Linked DNA regions of Coturnix japonica. The protein of the gene in region 1 purifies or fractionates together with the protein of each later gene. This does not show direct contact. Links are inferred from orthologs where the notes say so. Each region holds a gene or a part of one and is shown in the gene's direction. Other genes may lie near its edges.

What was found. Proteins that work in one complex are often made in the same cells at the same time.
Region 2: the proteins of PAK1 (region 1) and GIT2 purify together in Homo sapiens (affinity purification with mass spectrometry; 5 studies listed by BioGRID and IntAct, with this or other methods). This does not show direct contact. The link is inferred for Coturnix japonica from reciprocal best matches to the Homo sapiens genes PAK1 and GIT2.

What each region holds. Positions count from the first base shown.
Region 1 is NC_029516.1:172,845,941-172,849,584, forward strand, and holds part of PAK1 (serine/threonine-protein kinase PAK 1), read left to right. Parts: intron 1-883; 5' UTR 884-904; coding exon 905-1,094; intron 1,095-3,644. UniProt on the Homo sapiens protein: Protein kinase involved in intracellular signaling pathways downstream of integrins and receptor-type kinases that plays an important role in cytoskeleton dynamics, in cell adhesion, migration, proliferation, apoptosis, mitosis, and in vesicle-mediated transport processes.
Region 2 is NC_029530.1:6,002,695-6,006,877, reverse strand, and holds the start of GIT2 (ARF GTPase-activating protein GIT2), read left to right. Parts: upstream 1-1,381; 5' UTR 1,382-1,478; coding exon 1,479-1,530; intron 1,531-3,702; coding exon 3,703-3,836; intron 3,837-4,183. Other genes in the region: ANKRD13A (ankyrin repeat domain-containing protein 13A), read right to left, coding at 176-254, 913-1,064. UniProt on the Homo sapiens protein: GTPase-activating protein for ADP ribosylation factor family members, including ARF1.

The sequences.
Region 1 (3,644 bases):
CACAAGCTTCCGTCTTTAAATCCTCACAGCAGGGTTTATTTACTTAGAGATTAATGTGTATATTGAGGATCAGTGTTCTGGCTGTCTGAATTGTGCTTCAAGTATGCTGCTATGGCAGGAAGGCCGGGGCCCAGCAAACACTGCAGGACTTGACATGGAGGTGACACGGATGCAACACTGATGCTTTCTGCCCATCTCCCTCTGGTGCATTTCAATGCATTTTCAGTGATGGAGCCTGAGTGGCTGTATCCATGCTCTTTGATTGCAAACTTCAGTCCCTGTGCATCATGTTACTGCCTGAGCTGGAGGTTGATGCAAACCTGTTGAGGCAGATTTTGGCAGAGCTAGAATGGATCCGAGAGGTCTTATTTGGAAGAAGGTATTTCTGACAAAGTATTTGTCATAGATGGTGGATTCGCTGTTCTTGGAGGAGTTCAAGAACTGTGGATATGTGGTTAGTGGACATAGTGGAAATGGGTTGGCAGTTGGACTTGATGGTCTTAGAGTCTTCCGGCCTCAATGGTTGTAAGATTATGTTGGCTGCTGTCAGATATCCCTGCTCTCTGCTACCTGGGATTTGCTGCTTTTTCTGCTCACCCTCACCCTACACTTCTGCTTCATGTTATACTTGAGGTCTGGCTGTACCCCGCAAACAAGCTTTTTGTGATAATTAGTAACTGAAACTCTTCAATATAATAGAAATGATTGGGATCTCAAGTGGAATGTGTGCTGACGCTTTGCATTGGTGTGAGGCTGCACGTTTGTCTGAAAATACCTGTGTGTGGTTTATTTGACAGCATGTGATTCTAATTTACAAAAAAAACCCAACTCTAACTCAACAAACCACAAAGCTTCTTACTTCTTTTTCTTCCTCCTTTGCTAGTAACGGCCTCTACATCTGAAGATGTCTAACAATGGAGTTGAAACAGAAGACAAACCACCTGCTCCTCCGATGAGAAATACCAGCACTATGATTGGATCAGGAAGCAAAGACACCGGGACTTTAAACCATGGCTCAAAACCTTTGCCACCCAACCCAGAAGAAAAAAAGAAGAGGGACCGATTTTACCGATCTATTTTACCAGGAGATAAAAGTACAGTATTGTGGCTTTCCTTATAAAACTTATGTCTCAGTTTTGCTCTGGATGGCTGTTGCTTAACGATGGTTTGGAAGATGGCTCATGTTCATTTCTTGCATAGCTGTTGTTGTCATTTTGGGGTATATGTGATGCTGGCTCTAGTTCTGTTTTCTTATCCTAATGATTAATTCTACCACAATTAATCTATCCCTCTTAATCTGCTTTTGTGCTTTTCTTCCCCTTTAATTATGAGAACAGCATCCCTAAAAGACGGGACAAGCTCTGCCAGCTCCTAGCATGACTTATCCATAATGATTTTGAAAATCATATAAACCTTGTGTTCCCAGTTACAAGCTGATGAGTTAAAGCTGCAATTGTCAGTTCCTTTGGTGGGGAAGGGGAAGCTTTTTGCCTGTTTCTTGTTACAGCAAGTATGTGTAAAGCATGAGTAACAGTCCATTTCCTGCCAGGACTGTCACATGTTACTGCATGGTCTGCTGTAACAAGCTTACAGTCGAAGGTGTAATTTCTCATTTATTCTAGATTTTGTGTCATGATTTTTCTACTTGCTGTTACAAACAATTTCTCACCACAAATTCTTGCACGTTTCTTGTGAAGGGAAGGAATTGTCTCCTGTTGCAGACACCGTAACAGATGGAAATGGAGAGAGAAGCTGTGAATTGAAATTCTAAATCATAATGATGTCGATAATTTCCAAACTCTCTCATGAATCTTAAAGTAATATAAGAAAAAAAAATCTCTATCCTGAAGTATCTACTGATTCCTTTTTATATCTGACCTATTTATTTTTTTTTGGACTTCTCTTTCTAGTACATCAGAGTCTGCATTGCAATGGTGTCTGGACATTGGATAACTGAAAGTCTTAAGTACCTGCAACTTGCTTGCCTTCATGAAGGAAGCTGCCTCCTTGATTTTTTGTTACAGAACAAAGTCTAATTGGTGTGCTAATTTAAATCACAGAGATAGAAGTTCAGGGAGAACTTGGATTCGTTTATAGCCATTGATTTTTTAATTCTGCAACCCAGGAACCCGTGAACTCTATTAAACATTTGCAGGATACTGGTTAGAACTTGCCTTTATGTGTATTAATCCTGAAGAACTGTAAGATTTTGGTGTCAGCAGAGTGTTTGTAAGACCTTTAGGCTCAACAGTTGCAGAAAACAAAGAAATAACCTGAAATGTTGAAGATGAAAATAAACATGACATTAAATACTGTAGAATATAAAGGAGATATGGTAACTGAAATGGTAAACAGCTCAGGTAAAAGAGATACTACCACTGATATTAAGCTTTAAGCCTGCACATCCTGAAGTTTGGCCAACATGGCAGATGCTTTCAGACATGAGAGATTTTTGTCTAGCCAAGCCCAACAGAGCCTTCTGTTGCAATGCATCTGCCCAAACTAGAACGACTGCTTCTGTCCTACAATTCTTGTCAAGCAAAAATTAGCTTTAACACCATCACCTCCACTTCTTATTGGCTGATTTTCACCTTAGGAACGTTTTTCTGATCTCAGATGACAACTAAATTCTCTCCTGCTGCTTAACTGCTCCTTACCAGGCTGCTTTGGAAGTGCCATGTTCTCTCTGCAATTGGAAGGTGTAGTTCTAATGTCCCCTGTCCCAGCCTAACCCTTAACTTTAATACTGGATGGAACCTCTCCAAATGCATGCTCCCGTGATATCATATTAGCAGGAGCTGTGACCATTCAAGTCTTTCTGGTTTCAGTCACTTCTTGGGGTGTATGAACCAGGCAAACATGGCACATTTTGTTCTGCTGGTGTTTGCTGAGCTCTGCTGCTGATTCACAAAGAGCCAGAGTAGTACCACGAAGTAATGATGTATAGTGTCTATGAGCCCTTTCCATGCTGGTTTCACTGCTGCAGTTGTGTGGGTATCTTGCATCTTCGGGGCTTTTTGACCCACTACATGGATAACGTGATCACTATAGATGGGGAGTACATGTTCAGCGAGACTGAGTGCCCATCTCTTTAGTTCTTTTCAGTTATATGCCTCCTACCATGTAATACATCTCTACCACAGAAAGCAATTATTAATGTTTGAATGCATTTAGGCTTGTAGGTCTGTTAGATTTTGCAACAAGAGCTTGTGGAAAGCATTGTCTTCTGAGAATTTTGGAGGAATGCTTCTGAATTCATGTGCCACCTTCATGTGCATTCACATGAGGCTCTAATTCAATCTGGGCACTGCAAAACCCTGAAAGAGGCATTCAGGCAGATTTAATAAAGTATACAAGAAAACATTTGTGGATTCACTGGCTGTAACGTTATATCTAAGGCAGAGTGATTTTAGCAAGAGTTATTGAGAGTCAGGAGAAATGCAGACAGTTGAGAATCTGTCGGAAGTGGTTGCAAGAAACTGTAAGGTTGTGGGGAGAGCATTAACTGCTGCTGTGAATGCAGAAAGCTGTCTTCCTTTTTCAGTCTAGAGAAGAGAAGGCTCTGGGGGGACCTCATTGCAGCCTGCCAGTACTTAAAGGAAGCTTATAAACAGGAGAGTGACAGACTTTTAACATGGTCTGAT
Region 2 (4,183 bases), on another chromosome or scaffold:
TGTTTGCTGCTTCTTTTTGCTCAGATAAACAGTGAAAGTCCATCACATCCCTATACCTTCTTACCTCACTCTCAAACCCACAAACAGACAGGTGCAGAAGGAAAACAGTCCCACCAGCCTGGCACAGACCCGGGGCACAGCCAAGGCTCTCTCTGCCCAGGAAGGCAGCAGTTACCTGTTCTTGCAGCTCTTCATCCAACCGCTGGTAATCATTATTCCAAACCAGGACATGCAGGGGGTACGCAGCGCTGGCCCTGCCGGGGGAACTCATCATGCCACGCACCTGCAGGAGCAGGGGAAGCAGGCAGCCTGCCCTCACCACCCCCTGCTTTGTTTAGGGGCACCCCATGCAAAATCCCACACCCTGGGGGGGGGGGCTGCTCCTACTGACCCCCTCAGACCTCTATCCCCCCCCCCCCCCCCCCCCCCCCCCCCCCCCCCCCCCCCCCCCCCCCCCCCCCAAACCACCATCCCTATGGCCTCCCTCAAGTCTCTGCTCCCCTTTAATCCCCTTTAGGCTTCAGCTTCTGCCCCCCACCCCTCATCCCTATGGCCATCCCCTCTCTCAGACCCACATACCTATAGCTCTCCTTGAATCCCCCACTCCTGCCCCCCCCCGTTTCCTCAGGCCCTTGTTTTTGGAGTCCCCTTTATTCTCCTATATCTGGGGTCCCTTTTACACCTCAGCTTCTGCCTTCCCCCCCCTCTTTCTTCCCCCTTCCCCCCCAGGTCCCTCAGCCTTAGGGCTCTGCTCCCACCCCCCTCTGTCCCCATTCCTGGTGCCCTCCCTAAGACCCTCACTCCTATTCCCCACCCTTATCCCTCAGTCTCCAGCTCCCAGTGCCCTGCTCCCCCCATCCTTAGGCCCCACCTCACACCCCAGCCCCTTTCCCACCCAAGCCGTCTCCTCACCCCCGTCCCTTGGCCCCTTCCTTTCCCTCCAGGGCAGCGGTAGGGCCGTCCCACAGCACGGCAGCTGCGTTCAATAGGGCCCCGTTCTCTCCCCGCTGCAGCCCACAGACCCTCACACAAGCGGAAGTCTCAATTCCCCGCTCTCCCCCCATTTATATACAGGGCGTCCTGCCCGCCGGCTCCTCCATCGCTTTACCTCTCAAGGGGGGGAACCTCTGAGCCGTAACACTGACGAGCCGCCCTGTTCTCACCATCCCCCCCCGCCTCTGGGCAGCGTTGGTTTCGCCCGCATGCTCTACCGCGGAAATACGGAAGACACGCAGCCATTGCGAGTGAGGGCAGTGTCTCTATTCGCCATTTTAAGTTAGGGCGATACGACGGCTACGGCAGCGCAGCTCCGCCTGGCTTCTCACGTTAGCGTAAAATGCTTCGTGAATAGCGAGCGGCGGCGTAGCGTGCGGTGCTGACGTACGCATGCGCACTACGCGCTCGGCTCGGCCGCCCGGCGGGGGCTGAGGCGGCCCCTTGAGCGCGGCAGGAAGCGGCCGGTCCCGATCCGAACAGCGATGTCGAAGCGGCTGAGGAGCAGCGAGGTGTGTGCGGACTGCAGTGCGCAGGGTAAGGCCGGAGGAACCGAGGGGAGAAGGGGGATAAAGGGGAAAGACGAGAGGAGGGGGCGGCAGGGCCCGTCCGCATCCCCACCCCCCTGCACTGAGGAGAGGAGGGCAGGTGCCGCTGTGTGGATGGGCGCTGTGCTGACAGGGGGTGTGGGGAATAAAGGTATAAAATGAGGGTCTAAAGTCCCTATTTCTGCTTATTTATAGTGCTGGTGTTCCTGTGTTAGAGACTGGTTTTTGTTTTGGGTGAACAAACCCAACTCCCTCAGCCTGTCCTCATAGGGGAGGTGCTCCAGCCCCCTGATCATCTTCCTGACCCTCCTCTGGACCCTTAACAAAATCTCCATGTCATTTTTGTACTGAGGGCTCTACACCTGGACACAGTACAACAGGGCAGCCAGCACACAGCAGGGTCACAGCTCTGTGTGTTGTTGGGTGCTGCATGACAGCGTCAGATCTGATGCTCATAGAGAAGCCTGCTGGTTTAGCCATGTGTGTAACAAAAGCTTAGTCCTTTCTTCACAAAACAACCCAAAAACCTGAACAAACCCCTTCTTTGATTGAAAGCAGAGTTTGTAGGGCTGGTAGGATCTTCTTCATTTGAGCCAGGTTGTCTTCTGGGGTTTCCCCCAACTTCTCTTTGCTTCTTTAGGACCACAAGTGGTCGTGCTGTGCTCAAGGAGAGTTTGACATGCTCTTTTCTGTTACACTTCCTATGCTGCTGGGGCAGGAGCTCACTTCTCGTACCCGCAGAGCACGCCTGTCCTTGCACGCTTCCTGTTTTGAAGCGCTCTGCCATGTTCCTGAAAGCAAACTTGAGAGATCTTTTGAGTATTTCTTGTGTTCCGCCATCAGTGTAAGTGTATTTGCGTTGCGTTTGTACCTGTATTGCCTTTAGAAACAGACTAAACTCCAACGCAGACATTTAACTTAAACCTGAAATAAGTCTTCCTATAACCTGACAGCCCTCTGTCATAACCAATATTGTTCCCTTTCCGGTCCCCATCCGTTACTTGAGAGCAAGTAACTGGCAGTGAGCCACGTCTGAACTGAATGGGAGCCCACAAATCTTCATGTACCTCAATTAAAACTCCACTTCTGATTAAACCACCGTGACTTTGAAAGCAGGTTGCAGCGCTGAGCTCCTGCTGCTGTTTGACCAGCCTTGTGTGGGAGCTCAGATTACCAGCCAGGCTTCTGCTTTGCTCTTCAGAGGGATGCTGAAGCTTCCATTCTGCTGTGGAATGATCAGATAAACAGGAGCTTGCTTTGCTGTAGCTGAACGGGGTTGGTTACGGTGCATATTGAACGAGCAGCTCGTGACTGAAACCAGGAACACAGTGGCTTTCAGAAGATCACGATGTATGAATGAGTGTATGATGATGTCTGTAATAAAAAGGGATGAGGCTCGTTAGTCTTGAAGGATGCCTCCAGCCTTGGCTCGTTGGGTTGGGGTTAACAAAGCTTGTTTTGTTGTTCTGTTTTTCTCTCTTAGAAGTGAAAGTTGTAAAAATAGTGGAATGGTTTAATAACAAGCACTCAAACTCCTCATTACTTTGTTTCTTAAATTAGATTAGGTTTTTTTTTTCCTACACCATGCACTTCAGTTTGGCTCTGGGCTATGTGATAGTTATCATCTACGAGTAGATGCTGCCTTCCCTTGTGAGCCGTGGGTTTGCCTGCGTTGCCTTCAGCACACACAGCATCAGCTCTGCTCAGAAACCACATCAGTGATCAGATCTCACGTTTCATGGATTCACTATATTTATTGCACGGGTCACAGCAGGATATTTGTGTGATGCACAATTGCTTAGATGTATTCTGACACGATGCAGAAGATCTCTCATCAGATACAGGCTTGTGTTGTATTCATTCAGCCTTAAACCCAGCTCTGGATTTGGAATTAAGTAGGTTTTCCAAAACAGAAGAGATTTTGAACTCCTTTTTCCTCCTGCACTGTGCCAGCTCTGACAATGTCTTGCTGCTCACTTTCCTTCCTGCAGGGTTCTTGGCCCACGGAGCCTCTTCTGTCACTGACAGAAACTGGATTTGCTTCTGAGAGCAGTAAATCTCAAGTTAAAACACTGAGTTCTAAAACACAAAGTCATTTTCCGCTCTGAAATAAGAAGCTGCCTTGCCTTCTGTGGTTGTAATAAATGTCTTCTTTTTTCAGATCCTTGTTGGGCATCCATAAACAGGGGAATTCTGATTTGCGATGAGTGCTGTAGCGTTCACCGGAGTTTGGGGCGTCATATCTCTCAAGTGAGACATCTCAAGCACACACCATGGCCTCCAACACTGCTGCAGGTAAAGACCAATGACATCTCCTCCTTTACTAAAGCTAGAATTTCTTTGTGGTGTTTCTATATATGTATATATATATCTGCTTCAACCTAAATATTCAGCATTGGTTTTGGTAGAGATGTTCATGTGGAAGGAGAGAGAATTTTAAGGGGGTTCATATTACATTCCACACAACAGTCTCCTAAACATCAGCTGGGCTTTGACACCCCAGTGGGTTTTAGGCACTGCTATACAGAATATGAGTCAGTGCCATCCTGCTGCTGGGTTCACAATACTCACAGCTCTCTGATGAGTCAATCTGTGCAGCTAGCAGCTAAGTTCTTCACTCCTGCCTGTATATATTTTGTATT